Oryctolagus cuniculus: one gene and its partners. The protein of the gene in region 6 interacts with the protein of the main gene of each other region in a biochemical or structural test. Links are inferred from orthologs where the notes say so. Each region holds a gene or a part of one and is shown on either strand. Other genes may lie near its edges. The genes, in order: TOPBP1, H2AX, CDC27, RNF8, ATM and MDC1.

Region 1 (3,500 bases), on a different chromosome or scaffold from region 6:
GACATTTTTTAAAAGCTTAAAGGAGCACTCCTACCTGGTGCCTCACTCCTGAAACGCCCACTAACAGCTGTGGCTGAAGCAGGGAGCCAAGAACTCAGTCCAGGGCTCCTACCTGGGGGTCAGGGACCTAATTACCTGAGCCATCATCTGCTCTCTCCCAGGGCCTGCATTAATAGGAGGCTGAGGGAGGTTACGAGCTAGAACTGAGAACTGAACCCAAGTACTCCAATATGGGGCATTGTGTCTTAACTGGAATCTTAACTGCTAGGCTAAATGTCTGACATTTTTGATTTAAGTAAAATACTGGTACCTAATTTTTCAATCAGATGACAATAATCAATACGTTCTTGAGGATTCAGCGATGACATCTGAAATATGTACTGTTTTTTAAATTCTTCATGAGCCTCTTCTCTCATTATAATCTGGAATGAAAGAATTTTATTTTAGAAAAACATTTATATTAATCCAGTTATTTTACAGTGCAATTTTGCTGTCTTCTGAGTTATCATAAATACAAATAATAACATAATGCAAACACAGTTTTCAACATTTGATGAACCCCTGATAGTGAAATCAACACATTTCTAATTCAGTACAAAAATATCCAAAAGCCAGAGCAAGATCAACAAACCTTTTCCCTAGGGGGTGGAGCCACAGGTGGGTTGGCCAGAGGGAAGGCGATGCTGGGGGCCTGAGGTGTAGGGATCAGGTGGCTGTCTCGTACTTGGGTTTCTGGTTCTTCAGAGATAGGTTGCTTCGGAGCTTCAGTCACACATGCTTCTCCAGGATCACAGACAGCTGAGGGCAATAAAAGGTTGAAGCATGTGATTATTCACATACAAGTAGGAATAAAGTCTAGAAGATATTACCTGCCTCAGCCAACATGAAATTAAATACAAACCAAGAAATGTAAAAGTACATGCAAAAGAAGTAGACTATTTCTGGAGTTCATAAATAAATGTAATTAATTAACTTCAAAAGGATAACTATATTAAATGTGGATTTTTAAAAAAATATTTTTTCATCAGTAAATTGAAACTCAAATTGGTAAAATGAAAGCATTTCCACATTTGGAGAGAAATTGGAAGCAGAGATAAATCCTGTATCTGATGTATGGAATCATGCAATGTGAAAAAGATGAAAAAGGGGAAAAAGATTTTCTAAAAATAAAAAAGACTTATTTCTTCTTATTTATTTCAAAGGCATTTACAGAAAGTAGGAGACAGAGATCTTCCATTTGCTGGCTCAAACTCCAAATGGCTACAACAGCCAAAGCCAAGAGACAGGAGCTTATTCATGGTCTCCCATTTGGATGTAAGAGCCCTAGTCCACGGGCCATCTGCTGCTGCTTTCCCAGGCGTGTCAGCAGGGAGCCAGACCAGAAGTGGAGCAGCCAGGACTCAGTGTCAGTGTCCATATGGGACACTGATGTTGCAGGGACGGTCTAACCTGCTACAGTACAACACAGGCCCCCAACCATTCTGTTTTTTGTTTTTTTTTTTTTTAATATTTAATTATGATGTGAAAGGCAGAGTTACAGAGAGGCAGAAAGTGAGAGTGAGAGAGGGGGAGGGAGAGAAAGAGAGGAAGGGAGACAGGGATGGGGAGAGGAAGACTGAGAGGTCTTCCATCCGCTGGTTCACTTCCAAAATGGCCAGAGCTGGGCTAATCCAAAGCCAAGAGCCAGGAGCTTCTTTCAGGTCTTCCACGTGGGTGCAGGGGCCCAAGCACTTGGGCCATCTTCCACTGCTTTCCCAGGCCACAGCAGAGAGCGGGATCAGAAGTGGAGCAGGCAAGCCTCGAACCAGTGCCCATACGGGATTCCAGCACTTCAGGTGGCAGCTTTACCCAATATGCCACAGCACCCGCCCCACCATTCTGTTTTTAAGGCAAAGTTCATGAAAGAAAACACCAGGGGCTGGTGTTGTGGCATGGCCGCCACCTGTGATAACCAGCATTCCATCGGAGTGCTGGTTTGTGTCCTGACTGCTCTACTTTCCATCCAGCTCCTGGCTAACACACCTGGGAAACCAGCAGAAGATGGCCTAAGTACCGGTATCCACATGGGAGACCCAGACGAAGTTCCTGGCTTCAGCCTGGCCCAGCCCAATTGGAGGAGCCATCTTGGGAGTGAAACAGCGGAGATCTTATCTCTGTTTCCAGCCCCAAACACTTTCAAAACAAACACATAAATCTGTGAAAAAAAAAAGAAAAAAAAATGGGGAATTCAAAAAGGAACTTACACAATACAAAGAATAAATGTAGGTAAGTATTGGATGAAATTTAGAAGACTTAAATGAAAGTTAAGAAACAGGAGGAGAGGCTGGAGCTGTGTAGTAGGTAAAGCCGCTGCAGTGCCGGCATCCCGTATGGACACCAGTTCGAGTCCCAGCTGCTCCTCTTTTGATCCAGCTCTCTGCTATAGCCTGGGAAAGCAGTAGAAGATGACCCAAGTCCTTGGGCCCCTGCACCCATGTGGGAGACCCAGAAGAAGCTCCTGGCTCCTGGCTTTGGATCAGTGCAGCTCCGGCCGTTGTGGCCATTTGGGGAAGGAACCAGCGGATGGAAGACACCCCCTTCCCGGCCTTTCTCTCTCTCTGTAACACTTCCAAATAAATAAAATCTTAAAAAAACAGGAGGAAAACCCAAGCATTAACTGCACACATATAGTTAAGGACTAAAATGAAAGGAGAAGTTAAAAACCATGTTGGGAGGCCGGCGCTGCGGCTCACTAGGCTAATCCTCCGCCCTGCAGCGCCAGCACACCGGGTTCTAGTCCCGGTCGGGGCGCCGGATTCTGTCCCGGTTGCTCCTCTTCCAGGCCAGCTCTCTGCTGTGGCCAGGGAGTGCGGTGGAGGATGGCCCAAGCCCTTGGGCCCTGCACCCCATGGGAGACCAGGAGGAAGCACCTGGCTCCTGCCTTCGGATCAGTGCGGTGCGCCATTGGGGGGTGAACCAACGGCAAAGGAAGACCTTTCTCTCTCTGTCTCTCTCACTGTCTACTCTGTCAAAAAAAAAAATAATAATAAATAAATAAATTAATTAAAAAAAAAAACCATGTTGGGAAAAAATGCCTATACCTAAATTTTCAAATTCAAAGATCAACTACATTTTTCAATTTACTGATTAAGTACCAAAGTCAAAAATCATTTTTCTGACTCTTAACTTTAAGCCAAAGTCAGAAATATCTAGTAAGTTTCTCATTTGCAGGTATAATTCAAAGAATCACGACTTATCTGTTTATTTTTAGGAGGTCAAAATATACCATATACAAACAGGTAAATAGATTCTTTCTTGTTACCCTGTTCAGCAATTTCTGAAACACATAAAGGTTCCTGGAAAGGACAGTCCTCCAATGTTTTAACGTCAACCTGAAGCTCAGAGTGCTGTGTGGGACAACAAGGCCACTGCAAATTGCTGGCAAGCCTTGCTCGCTCCTCCCTGGCTGTAGGGTCATCCCAAATGATCTGTTCGTTCTGGGAGGGTTCAGTGTTCATATC
Region 2 (2,757 bases), on a different chromosome or scaffold from region 6:
TTGCTCCTGCTGCTGCTGCAGGTGAGGTCGGGCATGGGGATGGCGTTTGTACTTCCTTGTGGCTCTTTCTCGACGGACCTCACGCCAGTCCATTTCTCTTGCAGGTCGTGGGCAGCGCTCTCACCTTCTCCATCCGATACCAGCTTGTCCGGCTCTTCTATGATGTCTGAGTGCCCTGGGTGTTGGCCCTCACCTCAGAGTCTCCAGGGGTCCTGCCCTGACCCCTGTCTGGACCAAGGCTGCTTCCCCTTCCCCTGTGATCATGGACATCCGGGGCCTTTCTTGCCCTCTGGCGAAGGCCACTGAGACTTCACCTGTGGCTCCCCACCTCAGCTGGCCGCTCTCCCGCCCTCGCATCTCTGGGCTGCAGCGGATTTTGGACGGTTACCCACAACTCGACTCTCAGGGTCCTGCAGCTCAAGGGATGTGCTGGGCCTTGGGGCAGAACCTGGGCTAGGGAAGGGACACGGGCTGGAAGGGGGCTTGACTCTCGACTCTAAATGAAGTATTCTGATTAGTAAAGGCAGACGGGGCACCCGACGCTCCCGTCAGTGACAATAAAGGGTCTTTTTTCTTGTTTCTGTACGTATATTTCCTATGGGGGCATTTTAGGAAAACAGGGAAGGGCGCGGGGAGAGGACCTCCAAGCGGAGGCCTGTGCCTGTGGCTGCTCTTTCAGACCCTTCCCAGCGAGAACACAACTGAGACCTGACAGGAAAGCTCCCGGCGGCACAGGGGGCCTTAAGGTGGGAGTGGCCTGTCTTCCGACGTGGGATCGTCCCTTTTTGCACTCTCCTTCGGCCTATTCGGAGGGGGCGGGAGTAGGGCGCCCCCAGACTTAGATGGGAAAGCTGAGGTAGCAGAATCTAGTCCTTTCCTTTAAAAACCCCAGGCCAGCACGGGGTCTGGCTCCACCCCTTTCGTCTTCCGGTTCTAGTCTCCGCCTGCCACGTTTAAATCTCGCGCGCTTTGCGCGGATTGGCCGCGTCCGGAGTGGCTGCCTGTCAGCCGGCCCGCACGCTTCCTCACCTTCTTACCCGGGCAAAAGGTTTTCAAATTCGACCAATCGGCGGGCGCGCTCCCTCAGCCGAGGCGCGTCCCCGAAGGGTTAACCTCAGCCAACCGGAGGCGGGTACTAGAAAAAAGAGCCAATCAGGAGAGCGCAGGGGGTGTGCCCTAGGGGCATATAAGGGCGGCCCCGCCGCGCGCGCGCCGGCAGTTGGACTGCGGCGGTTGGCTGTTGGGGGCTTCCGTCCGGGCGTCGCTTCGTGCCGTTCTACCTCGCGCACCATGTCCGGCCGCGGCAAGACCGGCGGCAAGGCCCGCGCCAAGGCCAAGTCGCGCTCTTCGCGCGCCGGCCTGCAGTTCCCGGTGGGCCGCGTGCACCGGCTGCTGCGGAAGGGCCACTACGCCGAGCGCGTGGGCGCCGGCGCCCCGGTGTACCTGGCGGCCGTGCTCGAGTACCTGACGGCCGAGATCCTGGAGCTGGCGGGCAACGCGGCGCGCGACAACAAGAAGACGCGCATCATCCCCCGCCACCTGCAGCTGGCCATCCGCAACGACGAGGAGCTCAACAAGCTGCTGGGCGGCGTGACGATCGCCCAGGGAGGCGTCCTGCCCAACATCCAGGCCGTGCTGCTGCCCAAGAAGACCAGCGCCACCGTGGGGCCGAAGGCGCCTTCGGGCGGCAAGAAGGCCACGCAGGCCTCGCAGGAGTACTGAGGGGCCCGCGCCGCGGCCGCCCGCCCCGCGCCACCACAAAGGCCCTTTTAAGGGCCACCACCGCTCTCACGGAAAGAGCTGAGCCACGGCCGCTGCCCCTCCCCCGCGCCGCGCACCTGCACGCGCCTCGGGCCGGGCTCGTGACTCAGCCGCCCCACGCTGCGGGGCTGCGGGGCGGCCGCGGCGCCTGCGGAAGACGGCCTGCGGGGCCGAGCGGGCAGCCCTGAAGGTGAGGCCCTCGGCGGCCGCAGCCCAGGACTGGGACACCCGTCTGCGGCTTCCAGGCCTCGGCGGGAGACGCGCTGCCCCTCTCGTCGTTGGCGGCCGCACAGCCCGGCTCCGTTCGCCCCGGCGGGGCGGGGGACTGCCCGGAGGACTGCCGGGCGGCGGCGGCGCGGCCCGCGCGCTCAGACCAGCCCCGTCCGGACGGCCTCCGGTGGCTTGATTGGGACTTTGCAGCTAACTCGTCGGAGAACCAGAGACTGGGAGTTTCGGATGGACTCATTTTGTTTATTAAAGGATTTGGTTTTTTAAATGAAGCGCTTCCGTGTACTTGCCTGAGGGGGCGGGGCGGGGGTTCAGCTAACGGGAAAGGCTGTGCCGGGACCGGGTGAGGCAGGAGCCGGGGGGCTCTAAGGTGTGTGGGGGGCTCTCCGCGGTATCCGGGGACCGTGTCGGGCAGAACTACTGCGGCAGGAACGCGGTGTTCCAGAATTCGGGGGGAAGGGTCAAAGGGGTTTGTGCCTGTTTGCGTCTCCACCGACCGCACCACGAGACAACCGGAGAGCCGCCCTCAGCTGGTTTATTCCCGGGGCTGGTTACATTCAAAGGCTGTGGCTTGCATTGTGTTCTCTAGAGATGAGGCCCCCACGCAGCAGGAGGCAAGGCCCCTAGGTGAGGCGAGTCCCCGGCGGTCAGGGACCCCGCAGTTCCTCCTGGAGTGACCACTTCCCAGTGAGAACAGGGCACTCGGCCGACGTCCTCCCCGGGGAGCGGCAGCCCAGGCAGGCACCTGTGCCCACGGCCGCTTAGTGG
Region 3 (3,500 bases), on a different chromosome or scaffold from region 6:
TTTCTGTCTCTCTCTGCCTTTCAAATAATAAAAGTTTAATTTATTAATTTATTTATTTATCTGAAAGGCAGAGTTACAACAGAGAAGGACAGAGAGGTCTTCCATCTGCTGGTTCATTCCTCAAATGGCTGCAACAGCTGGAGCCAGAGCTGGGCAAATCTGAAGCTAGGAACCAGGAGCTTCTTCTGGGTTTCCCATTCAGGTTCAGGGGCCCAAGCACTTGGGTCATCTTCCACTGCTTTCCCAGGCCATCAGCAGAGAGTTGGATCAGAAGTGGAGCAGCCAGGACTTGAACCAGTTCCTATACGGAATGCCAGTGCCACAGGAGGGGGCCCAACCTACTAAGCCACAGAACCAGGCTCACAATTTTAAAAATCCCATTACTCCTCTTAAAAACAAATAATTCTAAGGCAATGGCAGTTATATAAAGCTGGATTCTCTCTGAACCTTAAACAGATTAGACTTTAAAGCAAGTTTCTTTAATCAGTAAGAAAGCTGCATTTTACACAGAAAATACCTTTTTTGTAGGGGCTCCACTGGATGGCACGTCAATTACAGAGGGTGTATTAGTGTAGTTTTGTAAATAGGATCCGTCTCCAGGACTTGGGGTTTCTAATGGCAAAATCCCAAAACTGAGAAGAGGTTGAAATCAAGGTGTCAAAAAGTCATCAAGGCATATATAAAGCAGCAGTATACTTAAATTAGAAGGTCTAAAAGGAAGAGAATGGCAAATCAGTCTTGGGGGCAGTGAGTATCTGAGGGGCAGATTATAAATAAACTGTGAATGTAGACTATTCCACCCACCATAACTAAAATAAAACAAGAAATCAAACAGGGAATGATATTGTATAGCAACAACTAGTCTTAGGAGAATTATTAGAAATAAAGAATGATTTTATTAAAGCTAAGACCCAAATGATCTAAATACTTCACATTCTTGGAATTCCACTATTTATGGAATTTAGACACAATTACAAAGAAATTGTTACAAATTCATGGTTATGTTATCTCAGTAAGTGCCTGGCCTGGGAACTTTATTCCCATAAGCACATGACCTTTTATTTTGATATTCTTGCATATGTGTTCCCTAGGCTGGGTTCTTATGTGAAAACATATATGTACTTTTAATAAATTTGACAAAATAAATCATATTGACAGGTATCAACCAATACTTTCTGCCTGTTTTGGAACACAGCATTTTAACAGTAACTAATGTTGCTCTGATTATGTCATAAGCATGCCAGTACTTCAAGGAGTTCACTGCCTTCCACTGATATAAAGACAAAGACAGTATCTTTTAATGTGTACACTAGCTAATTGAGGCATATCTAAGAGCTTTTAAAATGTCTCCTAATTTAACATTACATTTTATTTTTCCTGGTATCTTTTGTTTTACTTCATTTTCTGAGAACTGGTGTGCCCCCTATTTCAACAGTGATTTAGGAGGCTTAAATTTATTTAATTTATATTACTATGAATCATAAGATCACATAATATGCCACATTTTAAAGTACCGTTTGTTTGACTTACCTCGGGGTTAATGGGCTAAGAGCAGCTGGTCCTCCTAACAAACTTCGACCAGTTTTTGGTTTATTTTGAACCTGTTTAGATAATATAGAAGTTCCTGTTCCAAGAGGGACAGTATCTGGTGAAATCACAGCTGAATCAATGTAAGACACTGAGGAATCTGTATTCAAGGAGTACTTTGAATTTGAAGATTCTAAATTCAGTCTGTTTAATTCCTAAAACAGAAAATTTCTCAATGTCATTTACAATACATTATTTAGTTCAGATTATTCTTTTTTAGCTTTATAATATTTTGAACATTAAAGTATGATACACTTACAATTGTGTCCTGGGGTGTTTCTGTAAGAACTGTCTCGGGCTGTCTGTGAGATAAACTATGATTAGATACTAGTGTTGTGCAAGAGTTGGGCAGACAGCTGCTAAAGTTCTGTAAAGATGTTAATTTAAAGGTCTGGTCAGGATCTGGCTTTTCACCTGTGAAGACCCCCCAAAAAAAGAAAAAAAACAAAAAGTTGCCTGTGAGGAAATGAAAGATAAAGTTTTTTTCAAGTACATATAAATCACTGGAAATAAAGCCTTACCCAGAATTTTTAAATTTTCCAGTCCATTTCTACTAATCAAAGTTATCTCCCATCTGCCTATCCATCAACTTATCACAAAAACTTACTCCTAAAATAAAGCTGCAAATTCAGGAAATAAACTAAACTGCAAGGACTCTAACTTGTACTAAAGCTCAGGAAAATCCAGATTTCAGAGTTTGTTCTAAAAACATAAAGCAACTAGATCTCATTTTTCTCAAGGCAAAGGGTGAGGCTGGAGTTGACACAGTAAATAATCAAGCTGAAGCACCTCCATGTGTACAGATACATGCTTTAAAGCAGTTAACGCATCCTAACATATATACTGAAACTCTCTCTCCCTGGATGGTCCAAGCCTTATTTATCTAATAGTTTCTATTCCAGGTATTAAATTCTTTGGGAATTCTATTAATTTTTTTAACCCAGAAAGTGATTTTGTATTATATGCACAATACTACTCAGTCTATAGGCCACATTTGAGGCAGACAGATGGCTAAAAGTAGAGACCACTGACTTTTTCAGGTAGAGTAATGAAAGGTCATATTATTCCTGAAACATTTTTCTCAATGACTTCTTACTCTCATTTTTACCAGCCTTTAACTTCACAAAAATATTTTTTTTGTGGATAGAGGATTTGTATTATTCTAAAAATTAAGTGGAGGGTGGGAGCAGTTCAGAAGGATGGAGAAGAAATGCAGGACCATGACCTCTGCTGCCTCCACAAACTTACCTATTTCACATAATGATTCAAAGGGAGACCAGAGGAAAGGATTTAAACTAAGGCTCTTTTGGTAACATTCTGATCCTTTGGCAAGCCGATCTGTCTTGCTGTGGAGGGAAACAAACAGATTTAAAAAGCTACAAACCCCAAAACACTTATTATGAAATTTTGGGTATAGAAAATTAGGTAAAGATCATGTAAGTCCAGAGAGCACTCTTCTTTTTCTTCTTTTTTTAAAGATTTATTTATTTGAAAGGCAGAGTTAGAAAGAGCGGGAGAACAAGATCTTCCATCTGTGGGTTCACTCCCCAAATGGCGTTAATGGCCAGAGCTGGGCTGATCTGAAGCCAGAAGCTGCTTCTTCCAGGTCTCCCATGTGGGTGCAGAGCCAAGTACTTAGGGTTCTGTTGCTCTGCAACCTTTTCAGCGCTTGGTATTGCCAGTTTGTTGTTGTTGTTGTTGTTGTTTTTTAACAGGCAGAGTGGACAGTGAGAGAGAGAGACAGAGAGAAAAGGTCTTCCTTTTCCGTTGGTTCACTCCCTAGCGGCCGGTGTGCTGCAGCTGGCGCACCGTGCTGATCCGAAGGCAGGAGCCAGGTGCTTCTCCTGGTCTCCCATGGGGTGCAAGGCTCAAGGACGTGGGCCATCCTCCACTGCACTCCCGGGTCACAGCAG
Region 4 (3,500 bases), about 7.5 Mb from region 6:
CCTTGCGACAAATGGGGCATTCTATCTTCCTCTTCATCCATTCTTTGATACAGTAGGAGCAGAAACTATGGGCACAGTTCAAGGTGACAGCCTACAGTGGGAACAGGAACACACATCACAACTTTCACACTTACTTTCTTGGCAGTTCATTCTCAAAGCTAGGACAGGAGCTATTTTCCAAGGCCAACCAAAAAGATAACTACACTTCTATGTGGATTGTAGTATCAGAATCATTCTTGGGCTGGGAAATTTTAGGTTTCATGTTAGACAATCCGTGCTGTACCTTCTCAAAGTTAAGGTTACAGACTCAGGTCCTGGATAGGCTGATTTGTCTGCTTTGTTCCCCTAAGTCAACCACACTGCCAATGTGGGTCAACCATCCTGAGAGTGACAAATGCCACTGGACACAGCAGGATGAGTAAGTGTATGAACATACAAATGTAAAACTAATTCTCTTATTAAAAACAAACTAATTCTATAATTAAAAACAAACAGCTACTGCTACTTGTGAGTTACAACCTCAATTTTAGTATACCAAGTGTAAGTGAATACTGACCACTTAATGTATAGAATGGTAGGAGGTAACATCTTTAAAGAAGCCAAAATGTGAAATACATAATGGGTTCACTGACAGTGCCTGAACTTATAGGCAAACACATCCACAAAGAGAGACCGCAGGACAAAGCCTGTGATTCAGGGCTTCTCTGAGCACTCCCTCTGGTCAGATTTTTTTTTCACTCCCAAGAGTATAAACCATTCTCTCTCTCTTTTTTAAAGATGTGTTTATTTATTTGAAAGGCAGAGGGGCAGAGAGAGGGATAGACAGAGAGAGAGAGAGGTCTTCCATTCACTGTTTATTCCTCAAATGGCCCCAACAGCCAGGTCTGGGCTAGGCCAAAGCCAGGAGCCTGAACTTCATCCTGGTCTCCCACATGGTTTCAGGGGCCCACGTATCTGGGCCATCTCCTGCTGCCTTCTCAGGCTCATTAAGTAGAAGCTGAGCCGGAAGCAGAGCAGTGGGGACCCAAACCAGCACTCCAGTATGGGACACTGGCATTGCAAGCAGCAGCATAACCTGTGGTGCTACCATGTTAGCCCCTTCCTTGTCACTCTTGTTCATACATATATATATATATATATGTTATATATATAATATAGATACACATATGTATGGATGTATGTATCTTCTAAGATACAACTTTTTCTGAAGTTTAAAAATCCTCATTTCTGCTTTTAAGATAAGCAGTGGAAAATAACATCTAAGTTATACATTTTTCAATAGCAAGCTGAACTCACAAAATCAGAAAACTAGAATATATTTTTCATTATGAAGTGTTATGAAGTTCATGAAGTAAACCCTCATAAACAAGATTAAAAATGCTAAAAATGCTTTTTTTTAATTTTTTTTTTTTTTTTTTTTTTTTTTTTTGGACAGGCAGAGTGGACAGTGAGAGAGACAGACAGAGAGAAAGGTCTTTTTTTTCCATTGGTTCACCCTCCAATGGCCGCTGCGGCCGGCACACCGCGCTGATCTGAAGCCAGGAGCCAGGTGCTTTTCCCGGTTTCCCATGTGGGTGCAGGGCCCACGGACTTGGGCCATTCTCCACTGCACTCCCGGGCCACAGCAGAGAGCTGGACTGGAAGAGGAGCAACCAGGACAGAATCCGGTACCCTGACCGGGACTAGAACCCGGGGTGCCAGTGCTGCAGGTGGAGGATTAGCCTATTGAGCCGCAGCACCAGCCAAAATGCTTTGTTAAAATGAAACATCTAAGACTGACTTTAAGCGGTTGCTAGCAGAATAGGTCAGTACTCCGTGACAAAACATAGGTCAAAGCGTTTGTCTCTTTCATGTCTATGCAAATACTCTGAGCTGGCTAACTTATCACCCATTCCAACGTCCCTTTCCTTGTCTTTCTTTACCAGAGACCATAAGCCCTGTCAAAACAACACTGAGTTTCTCCAAAGTAGGGAATCATCTAGCTAAAAACTATGCAGGAAATTATGACCAGAAGTCAAAATGAATCCAGAAAAAAAAAAAGAAAAAACAGGTTGCCCAGGAGAGAGAGGTTTTTTCAGGAGGCTAACAGACTCAGCCTCCTTAAAGACTGCTTGAGAAAAGGATGCAGTGTGTATGTGTGTTTGCCTTTGTTAATCAGTCGGAAAAGCACTGTCGTCTAACAACCTGAGTTTAACACTTGTGGTCTAAGCTGTACTGGTCACAAATGGGAGGACCTCTGAAAAATACAAGAGCTGGTGCTTGTATTTATCTTGTACAGGGGCCAGCACTGTGGTGTAGCAGATAAAGCCACAGCTTGTGATGCCGGCATCCCATATGGGTACCGGTTCAAGACCCGGCTGATCCACTTCCTATTCAGCTCCTTGTTAGTGCAGTTGGGAAAGTGCTTGAGGCCCTGCACTCATGTGGCAGATTCAAAATAAGCTCCTGACTCCTGGCTTTCGCCTGACCCAGCCCCAGCCACTGTAGCCATTTGGGGAGTGAATCAGTGGATGTAAAATCTGTTTAAAAAAAAAAAAAAGAAAGATGACAGGACAATAAATGGGAGCCTCGGGGAGAGGTATTTCATTTCACAAGGAGCCTGAAGGTCCTGAAATATATTCTACGTGGCTTTTGAATTCTGAATTCCCAAAATGACCACACATCAATGGCACTGACCATTCTGCTTTGAAAGGCTGCATGGCAGAAGCAGGTATTTAGTTTAGCAGTTAAGATGCCAGATCTCACATCTGAGTTTGATTCCTGATTCTGGCTCCCGATTCCAGTTTCCTAACACAGACCCTGGTAGGCAGCAGTGAAGGCTCAAGTAATGGAGCTCCTGCCATTATGTGGAGACCTGAACTGCAATTCTGGCTCCTGACTCTAGTCTCCTGCTAACTCATACCCTGAGAGACAGTGGTGATGAAGCAAGTGAATGGGTTCCTGCCATCCATGTTCTGAGGCCTGTCACTGTGGGTATGTGGAGAGAGAACCAATGGATGGGAGCTTTCTTCACCTGTTTCTCAAATAAATTTAATTTTAAAAACTACACTACAAGCCTACTCTTAGCTTTGTGTCCATTCAGAGTAAAGAGAGAGAAGTATTTCCGGGCTGCTTCATTCTGATACTTCGGCTATGTGATCTGGTTTCCCCCATCCTAACAACAAAGAGAGAAAGGCTTTATTGCAGCTAAAAATGTTAACCATACCAAACAAATAGTTATAAATTCCTAGAAGAAAAATCTCTTCAGAGTGTTTCTTTGGCAGAAGCAGCATGCATGGTCCAGGTTCCGTTCCGTGCTGGGAGAGTGAGAAGGGGTGCGCCACTGGTCATAATTACCTCAATGAAGTATTCTGAGCAAATAATACATTGGAGTTCATTTTCTAGCACGTCATTCATCTGACTAAGAACTTCCTCCTTCTGTGCTTGTACCTTCTCCTTCTCTTCCTGTGAAAACACACACAACCCTGTCTGTCATCTGGGAGAACCAAAAGGAGCACAAA
Region 5 (3,935 bases), on a different chromosome or scaffold from region 6:
TAAATAAACAGAAGATATTCATTCATTGATACAAACAATATTTACTATGTACTACTGTGCTCAAGGTACTATATCAGGGACAGCTAGACAAATCAATGAAACATATAAATCCTGCTTTCATGAAATTCTACCTAGAGGTAGAAAATAAACAAACTGATAAATCAATGCATAATTCCAAAATGTGATGTATACTGTTAAAAACCAAATTCTTAAAACTGAAGGATATTAGGGGCCGGCGCTTTGGGGCAGTAGGTTAAAGCCCTGGCCTGAAGCACTGGCATCCCATATGGGCACAGGTTCTAATCCCAGCTGCTCCTCTTCCGAACCAGCTCTCTGCTATGGCCTGGGATAGCAGTAGAAGATGGCCCAGGTCCTTGGGCCCCTGTACCCAACGTGGGAGACCCAGAAGAGGCTCCTGGCTTTGGATGGGTGCTGCTCCGGCCGTTGTGACCATCTGGGGAGTGAACCAGCAGATAGAAGACCTCTCTCTCTCTCTGTAACTCTTTCAAATTAAAAAAAAAAAAAAAAAAAAAAAAAAAACCTGAAGAATACGAAGAATACTCTGAAATAAAAGGGTTTTGGGAGCAATTACAGAAACTAGCCAGAAAAAAGGAGTGGTCTAGAAGCTCCTGTAACCACCAGCAGAGAGCTGTCTGAAAGGTTTTTTTGCTGGATCTAAAAAACCAAAATATTTTATACTCAAAGTTTGGGAAAAAGAAAGTATAAACTGTTTATAATGAGCCTATATAGAGAAGAGTGGCAGTACAACTAAAAGGCAGGAAGGCAGTCTCTAAGTATTTAGCTATTCCTAATCAGTTGGGATTGCCTTGATGGCCTTGGAGTTAAAATTTCAACATGCATTCAGGACATCGAGCAGTTTTTTTTTGTTTTGATTGGCCAAAACTGGTAGCTGACTAACTTCTCTCTCCTCTCCACTCTCTAGCTGTGTAATTAAATTTAGGACATCTTAGAATACTTGCTTTCATCTTTGCCTCAAAGAAAGCAATACTTAAACAATAATAGAAAGAAACTAATACTTAAACAATAATAGAAAAAACCAGTAGAGAGGACCATTTTAGATAAATTATAAGGAAACATCTCAAAGGAAGGTATAAAAAGAAAGTCAAGATCTGAATAAACCAGTGCCAATCATATAAAGAGCTGAAGAACTGACATTTGAGGGAAGTAATCTTGCACAACGCCAGGGCACTAAGATGGAAAAGAGTATGTTAGGTTGGAGGAGGTGGAGACGAGCCAGTCAGAGTAAAAGTATCACCAGATAAAGACAAACCCCACTTATACATTAATCCAGACTACCTACGATTCATTCATATTCCACAGAAACAACACAAATTTCCTAAATAACAGGCTCTGCACCGGCGCATTCAATATTCGTTGTTATTAACCAGCTTAATCCCTTTGCAGAACGTTGACAATGATGCCCATTCCATCCTCCTAGAAATAACTTTGTCCTTGGCATGCAATTCTTGGCTCTGTAGTCAATGTGTATTAATCCAGCCAGAGCAAGTTAGCTCATGTGTCCAAACCTTAATGATAAAAACAATACTAGCATCTACCCCAAAAACTTGTTGTAAGCATGCAGGTGCATGTTTAGCAAAGCACCTGGAACACAGCCAGTCACCACGTTAACAGTTATCAGAATGAATTCCCTTCCTTTATGATTGCTCCATAAGTCTCTTTCGATATTTCTTCCCTTCCCACTTCAAGCAGCATCCTTATCTCCTTGGTCTCATTCATTCCTGTGACCTAAACATACTGAAAACTCCCCGAACCTATTTCTTTCAATACTAGATCTCACCCCTGATCTTCAAGAACCTTCTACCATGTGCCTTTTACAGGTAAGTTTCTTTCTGTTTGGAAAGTTCCTACTATCCCCTAAGGCAGTTTAGATACTGCAAGGGCTCCCGGCAAACTAAAGTGTTTCTTCCAGGCCGAGTTTCCACAGGACCTGTAACTGCTCTTCTAGAACATTATCCACCTTGCAGTGTAGTTAATTATCTGCACCTGGGAAAACAGCTCTGCAGGGCTCACCACAGGGAAGGATTACCTCACGTAATTTTCCAAGGAAGATGTCAAACAGCTGGCAGAATTCGAACTCGGTACTGTGATTCCAGAACCTACATTCTTAACCACGAGGCTATAGTTAAAATCTCACTAAATGCTCGCTAACTAAAAGTACCAATTATGACACGAGGTTAAAAAAAAAAAAAAAAGGTAACTACTCCAATCGCCTAGTTGAATCTGAACCCTAAGGGCACGGGAGAAGCAGACGCGGAGAAAGGAGAACTCAATTCAGAAGACTTAAAAGGAAGTTCAAGGATAACGCCGCAGGGGGCTCGGAGGGAGTGCGGTGAGTAGCCGCAGCAGCAGCGAGAATAACGAGGGAGAGAGCGCTCACGGGCCGCTCTGAAAGAGCGCGTGGGATTAGGAGTCGGGGGAAAAGGACAGACTGGGTCCAATACGACTCAGTTCTGTAAATACACAAGTCACTGCGTGGCTCCGCACCCCTACCGCTAGACTCTGACGGCCCAGGCAGTGCCGGCGGCGGCTTGCAGCACGGATCCCCCAGCTCCTCTCGCCACCTCCGGTTGCCACAGCTTCCACACTCCGTTATCCCCGCAGCTTTCCCCGCTTCCGGTTCAAACGCCGCGTGAACTCGCAGCGTCCTCTCGGAAGAAAGCGCTAACAGGCCACAGAGCACACTCTGCTCATGCGCACAAGTATCACGCGCTTTCCGTCGCCCAACACTGCGCACCCCCAAAACATTCTGCTCGTCTGCGGAAACGCGCCTGCGCGCTGCCCACCAATGGCTAGCGACTCTGTGTCAGTCGCCCGCCCTCTGGCTGCTGCTCCGGCGCTCGCACCCCGCCCCTTCACGCTCTCCGGCCCCACCCCTCCAACTCTGAGGGCGGAAGTGACGGCAGTTCCAAGGAGAACGGAGGCGGGTTTCATTTCGGCGCCTTTCTTTCTCTGGCGGAAGCCATTGGCTGCCGTGGAGCGAAAGAGGCGGGACAAATTGCCGCGGGTTCAGTGCCGCCACTGGAACCGGGAGATGCGGCGTAGGAGCTGTCGCTGTGTTTCTCTGTACCTGCGTCTCGTCTCTTATTGTGGTTCGTTCTGCGGCGTCGATCATGCTGTTACCCTCGGACGTTGCCCGGCTAGTATTGGGTAAGCGCGGACGCTGGCGGGAGGGTTACTGGGCCAGGCAGAGAAGGAGGGAAGGCGCTTCGGAGCTAAAGCCTTTCTCTTGGTGGGGCAGCCTTGGGGTTTTGCTTCCCCGCTTGCAAGTTCGGACTGGCTGTGATTTTCCGTCGCTCGCTGGCCCTGGTCGCGTACGCCTCGTTGTGTGTGGATGCTCTCCTGCTCGGGCTGTTTGTCTAGGGGAGAGCCGGAGAGAAGCTCGGAGGGCAACACCTGAGGCCCGGATTCGGAGGGAAAGTCAGGCCTGCACACTTCACTGGGACCCCTGAAAGAGAGTTGTCTACGTGACGGGGCGGACTTCGTCGTCTTCAACCTTGCGCGTACTTTCCCTTGTCAGAGCTGAGACCAAAATAGGACAAATAAGGACTTCCCGGCCACCCAGCTTTGTAGAAAGACCTTCGTGACGTCTTTCTCATAACCCTTAGAACTCCGGATTTGGGACGAGTGGGGGTGGTCCTCCTCCTCCATCCTCCCGGCAGGACGTCCTCCCGTGTAGAGGGTTGAAATGCCAATTGCAAATTTGAAAGCAGCTGCAATTCCTATTGCTTTGATGAGCGAACAGTTACGGAAGGGAAGTGCCTTCCAGCTGAACGTTTTCTCGCCCTAGTTAGCTTTTCCTCCATTTGTGCCACTTGTCTGTCAGGGTGTATTGTCTGTGTGGGAGACGGTTTTTTTGTTATTGTTTGTCCCTTCAAAGAATAAAGAAGATTGTA
Region 6 (4,111 bases):
GGGGTGGGTACCGGCCGCGTCTGCGTGTGTTTGCAATAGAGCAGGACTGTGTCTGCGGTTCTTTCCCTCTGTGCCTGAGTTCTTTTGTGCAGAAAGGGGGCTGTTCTCGGGGATGCAGGGGTTGGGGAGTCCTGGGTGCCGGGGGCTGGGAGGTGAGGAGGGCACGCCCAGAAAGCTCCCTGTAGTAGCAGCTGTCTGAAGACAGGACTGCTAAGCTCAGCGAAAACCAGGGAGCGGTGCAGCACTCTGGCCCTTGGGTGACCCAAAGCCTGAACCCGCATAAGCCGCTGCCCCCTCGGATTGCCTTCCTGATATCTCCCTGGGAGTCTGGGACTGAGAAAGTTGCGACAGAGAAACAAAACTGTAGCGAGGGTCTTTTGGGATGTAGCTATTGTTCAAGGAGTAAGTTGCAGCGTTTAGAGGAAGTGCTGAGATTTGCAGCCTCCGTTATGGGGATGTGGGCCTTGGAAAACAGCTTGATTTTCTTGTGAAAACGGGGAACTAGGGAGTCTGAAGCTTCATAGGATTTCGGTCTTTCCAGACGGCCTGTCCAGATTGATGAAATCGGTGCGTTTCAGTTTCACTGACTAGGCGGGCGGTGGCCATTGCAGAGGGGGAGGGGTGACTGAAAGAGTGGAAAATGGAATGGGCTTCCACGGGGTCCACCTGCTTCCCAAGGACTCACTCATTTGGTAGGTACTACCTATCCACCAACCCAGGAGCAAGAGATACAAAAATGATTAAGAATCCGTTCCCTGGCCTCCAGGACCTTGCAGTTCGATGAGAAATGCGGTAAGCACCAGTCTAGAGAGGTGTGGTCCCAGTCAAGGTCATTGTTAATCCACATTCCATCAGCATCAGCGCACATTTCTAAATCACCTTCCAAATGAAGGAGCGTTAAGTGAGTGTAGGACCCTTGTACTCCATTAAAATATCTTATGTTTTCGGGCATGCTCACAACGAAAGCAGCTTTTCTGCAGTAAAGAGCTCAGATTTAGAACTGGAGGACTTGTTTCCATTTGTCTCTGCATTAGGAACCCAGCGAGTCATTTAACTTCGCAGAGCTGCAGAGATAAAATCTACTTCTGTTTGGTTCTCGTGGCCCGAGCTGAGATAACAAACGGGAAAGAGCTACCTAAAGTAGATCCCTATCAAATTATTTCCTGGTCTCTTCATGTCTCGTTATAATGAAATAAATTACTTTCCATCCTTGCCTTGCCCCTTGAAAAGTGAGGCCAACCTTTTAAAACGGTTAGCAAAACAGTTTCCTCTCTTAGGCTTTGGATTTTTATTTTAGGATCTTCCGTTTAGGAAAATGTCCTCAAAATGTCCGTCGGGGATGTATTCTCAGGAGGAAATGACACGACTTCTACTAAACAAGCGAAATCAAAAGGCAATGAAATTCCACTGCAGTGAGGAGCCTCAAGTGCCACGCCTACGGGCTGTCCTCCAAACTGCAGCCTGGAGCCACGACTGCAATCCGCAACCCATTTGTTTCTCCTGAGTCAGCGGACACCATGTCTGGGAGGACCGGAAAAGGGCGCTCTGGCCGGACCAGACGCGGCCGACGACTGTAGTACAGAGACGCTCTATCCGCCGCCAGAAACTGGCGCCAGACTCTCTGGTCGCGGTTTGGAAGTCTGCGCGGGAAGTGGGCGGTGGGCCATGAAACGGCAGTGGGCGGTCCCTTGGAGCTGGCCAATCAGAATGCGCTATTTCGCGCGGCCTCCGATTACTCTTCCTCAACTGAGCACTGTCTCCCGGGAGATGCTTTCCTTTTGAACTGTGGGGGGACGGTTGGGGGAGGGGATTCGAATGTGCCGCCGCTCTGTGGGCGTCATCAAATCAACGTGCAGGACGGTCGTGAAGGACAGCGACAACAGCCAATCAGCGAGCCGGGTCCCTTCCGGCGCACGCATTCGCACCGCCCCGGTCGCGACCGTTACGGGTGGCGCGCGCGCGCGTACTCCAAGTAGGTGAGTTCTGAGGGCCTCGCCCACATCTTCGCGGGTACCATCTTGATTCCGACGGAGGGCGGGAGGGGCGTGCCCTGGGTGCGACTGGGCGGAGGTAATTCGAAAGTTTGTGGGACTGTAAATGCCCACCCTCACCTGACGCCTCTCCTCGCCCCGGGAGGCGTTGGATCCCGACGGAGCCCCACTGGGCGGGGATCAAAGATGGTGGTCCTTTGATTCCAAGGCGAGGAACGCGGGCGCCCGCTGGGCTGGCCCGTCTTAAGGCCGAAGTGAACCTTTTCGCCTCGGGGGCGTCCTCCTTTCCCTAGCTGCCCGTTTCCCTCTTTGTAAGTGAACTCCATCCTTATTTCTTCCTTTCATTCTGCCCCTAGCAGGCTCAGTGAGGCAGCCCTGCGAGGGCAGGGTGCATGTAGGGTTTGCCTCACGGATGTGGCCCCCGTTCTTTGATCAGCCCTAGGCGCGCCGTCACCACCGTAGAACGACCGTGATGGGCACCGGGGGGAAAGGGAGAGTTCCGGGGGGAGGGGCGGCGGAGTGTGAGAGTGGTGGTTACAGGGTAGGCGCAAGGCCGTCGGCCACCAGGGTCACCGGAAACTAGGAAGGACTTTAATGAGGGGAGGACATTTGAACAGAGGACGGCGATTACTGTTACTATCGATTTGAAAGTCGGGGCTGTGCCGGGCCCACACCAGGAGCCTGGAACTCAATCCCAAGCCTCCCACGTGGGCGGCCGTTGCCCGCTGCCTCTCAGGGTACCCGCTAGCAGGAAGCTGACACTGGAAGCGGAGTTGCGCTCGGATGTGAGATGCCAGCGTCTTCAGCGCTGCGCCTGAACTAAAGCCCCCAGGGTGGGCAGGAGTCGATCAGGAAACCAGGAGGGAAGGGCCTTGGGCATCAGCTGTGGGGCCGAGGGGAGTGTGTTTATAGAGGCTTGGTTGGACCGCATGCGGGTCAGCGGAGTGAGGGTGGGGGCTTGCAGTGCCCAACAAAAGGCTTAAGTGGGGTGGAGGAGGTTTGCTGAGGAGTTTAGGTTTTATTTTACCCTGGGAAAACCATCAGAAAATATTAAAAAGAGAGATCTGAGTGACTCTGAGCAAGTTCCTTCACCCATATATGTTGTTTTAGCTAAAAGAAAAAGATAATAATAATGCCTCTTTACAGGGTTCTTGTGGAGACTAAGTGAGGCAGTCAGTGTAAGAAACCGGAATCCTCTCTATGTCGACTATTAGGAGTTTTTGTAATTTAGTCTGATCACGCCGAGGTGCTCTGGCAAAGTGTAAAAAGTACGGGCAGTACAACCAAAAGAACATTTCTTCTTACCTGTCTACTTAACCTGCTGTGTTATCCGGAGCAAATTATCTCATATTTTCAGCGTTAGTTTCCTAAATGTCTACCTCTGTCGTCTACTGTGCGTGACACATAATGCCCAGCACAGACTTGGCGTGTATGAGCAGTGGGCTGCAGCCCAGTTGTGGATAGTGAAGTTCATTTAATAGGTTGTAAATGTTCATTTAAAAAGTATAAGGAGAGGTGCTGACATTGTGGTACACAGGGTTAGCCACAGCCTACAATGCTGACATACCATATTACTGTGGCTGCTCTGCTACCAATCCAGCTCCCTGCTAGTGTGCCTGGGAAAGCAAAAGAAGATGGCCCAAGTGCTTGGGCCCCTGCCACCTGCATGGAGTTCCTGGCTTCTGGCTTTAGCTGAGTCCAGCCCCCTCCATTGTGACCATCTCTGTTGCTCCCTCCTTCTTTGTTTCTTCTGTCTTTCAAATACAATAAATTTAAAAATATAGAGAATAGGAAAAACAGAAATAAGAATTTTAGTGTATTATCGTAGCATTGTTTCTCAAAAAATATATAAATAAACATGTTTGTATATATTTGTGTAATGAGGACCTTGTAATATTTATCTTTCTTTGTGTCATGGTCAAAAATATATACTTTTTAAATATTTGTTTATTTGAGAGGCAGAGTTACAGAGGAAAAGGTCTTCTATCTGTTGGTTCACTCCCCAAATGTCTGCAACAGCCAAAGCTGGGCCAGGCAGAAGCCAGGAGCCAGGAGCATCTTCCAGGTCTCCCACGTGGGTACAGGGGCCCAAGCACTTGGGCCATTTTCCACTCTTTTCC

The links.
Region 1: the proteins of MDC1 (region 6) and TOPBP1 are reported together in a solved structure, tested with the Homo sapiens proteins (3 studies listed by BioGRID, with this or other methods). The link is inferred for Oryctolagus cuniculus from reciprocal best matches to the Homo sapiens genes MDC1 and TOPBP1.
Region 2: the proteins of MDC1 (region 6) and H2AX form a complex in vitro, tested with the Homo sapiens proteins (5 studies listed by BioGRID and IntAct, with this or other methods). The link is inferred for Oryctolagus cuniculus from reciprocal best matches to the Homo sapiens genes MDC1 and H2AX.
Region 3: the proteins of MDC1 (region 6) and CDC27 form a complex in vitro, tested with the Homo sapiens proteins (2 studies listed by BioGRID). The link is inferred for Oryctolagus cuniculus from reciprocal best matches to the Homo sapiens genes MDC1 and CDC27.
Region 4: the proteins of MDC1 (region 6) and RNF8 form a complex in vitro, tested with the Homo sapiens proteins (2 studies listed by BioGRID and IntAct, with this or other methods). The link is inferred for Oryctolagus cuniculus from reciprocal best matches to the Homo sapiens genes MDC1 and RNF8.
Region 5: the proteins of MDC1 (region 6) and ATM form a complex in vitro, tested with the Homo sapiens proteins (2 studies listed by BioGRID, with this or other methods). The link is inferred for Oryctolagus cuniculus from reciprocal best matches to the Homo sapiens genes MDC1 and ATM.

Annotation. Positions count from the first base shown.
Region 1 is NC_091435.1:175,279,051-175,282,550, forward strand, and holds part of TOPBP1 (DNA topoisomerase 2-binding protein 1), read right to left. Parts: coding exon 3,302-3,500; intron 799-3,301; coding exon 632-798; intron 423-631; coding exon 311-422; intron 1-310. UniProt on the Homo sapiens protein: Scaffold protein that acts as a key protein-protein adapter in DNA replication and DNA repair. Composed of multiple BRCT domains, which specifically recognize and bind phosphorylated proteins, bringing proteins together into functional combinations.
Region 2 is NC_091432.1:111,204,324-111,207,080, forward strand, and holds H2AX (histone H2AX), read left to right. Parts: upstream 1-1,202; 5' UTR 1,203-1,290; coding exon 1,291-1,722; 3' UTR 1,723-2,257; downstream 2,258-2,757. Other genes in the region: DPAGT1 (UDP-N-acetylglucosamine--dolichyl-phosphate N-acetylglucosaminephosphotransferase), read left to right, coding at 1-21, 105-170; HMBS (porphobilinogen deaminase), read right to left, coding at 2,751-2,757. UniProt on the Homo sapiens protein: Variant histone H2A which replaces conventional H2A in a subset of nucleosomes. Nucleosomes wrap and compact DNA into chromatin, limiting DNA accessibility to the cellular machineries which require DNA as a template.
Region 3 is NC_091448.1:16,968,662-16,972,161, reverse strand, and holds part of CDC27 (cell division cycle protein 27 homolog), read right to left. Parts: intron 2,934-3,500; coding exon 2,836-2,933; intron 2,002-2,835; coding exon 1,847-2,001; intron 1,743-1,846; coding exon 1,531-1,742; intron 633-1,530; coding exon 518-632; intron 1-517. UniProt on the Homo sapiens protein: Component of the anaphase promoting complex/cyclosome (APC/C), a cell cycle-regulated E3 ubiquitin ligase that controls progression through mitosis and the G1 phase of the cell cycle.
Region 4 is NC_091436.1:132,255,198-132,258,697, forward strand, and holds part of RNF8 (E3 ubiquitin-protein ligase RNF8), read right to left. Parts: intron 3,445-3,500; coding exon 3,337-3,444; intron 92-3,336; coding exon 1-91. UniProt on the Homo sapiens protein: E3 ubiquitin-protein ligase that plays a key role in DNA damage signaling via 2 distinct roles: by mediating the 'Lys-63'-linked ubiquitination of histones H2A and H2AX and promoting the recruitment of DNA repair proteins at double-strand breaks (DSBs) sites, and by catalyzing 'Lys-48'-linked ubiquitination to remove target proteins from DNA damage sites.
Region 5 is NC_091432.1:99,975,940-99,979,874, reverse strand, and holds the start of ATM (serine-protein kinase ATM), read right to left. Parts: upstream 2,801-3,935; 5' UTR 2,069-2,800; intron 1-2,068. Other genes in the region: protein NPAT, read left to right, coding at 3,153-3,189.
Region 6 is NC_091436.1:139,721,555-139,725,665, forward strand, and holds the start of MDC1 (mediator of DNA damage checkpoint protein 1), read left to right. Parts: upstream 1-1,311; 5' UTR 1,312-1,976; exon of another isoform or gene 1,977-2,302; intron 2,303-2,665; exon of another isoform or gene 2,666-2,824; intron 2,825-4,111. UniProt on the Homo sapiens protein: Histone reader protein required for checkpoint-mediated cell cycle arrest in response to DNA damage within both the S phase and G2/M phases of the cell cycle.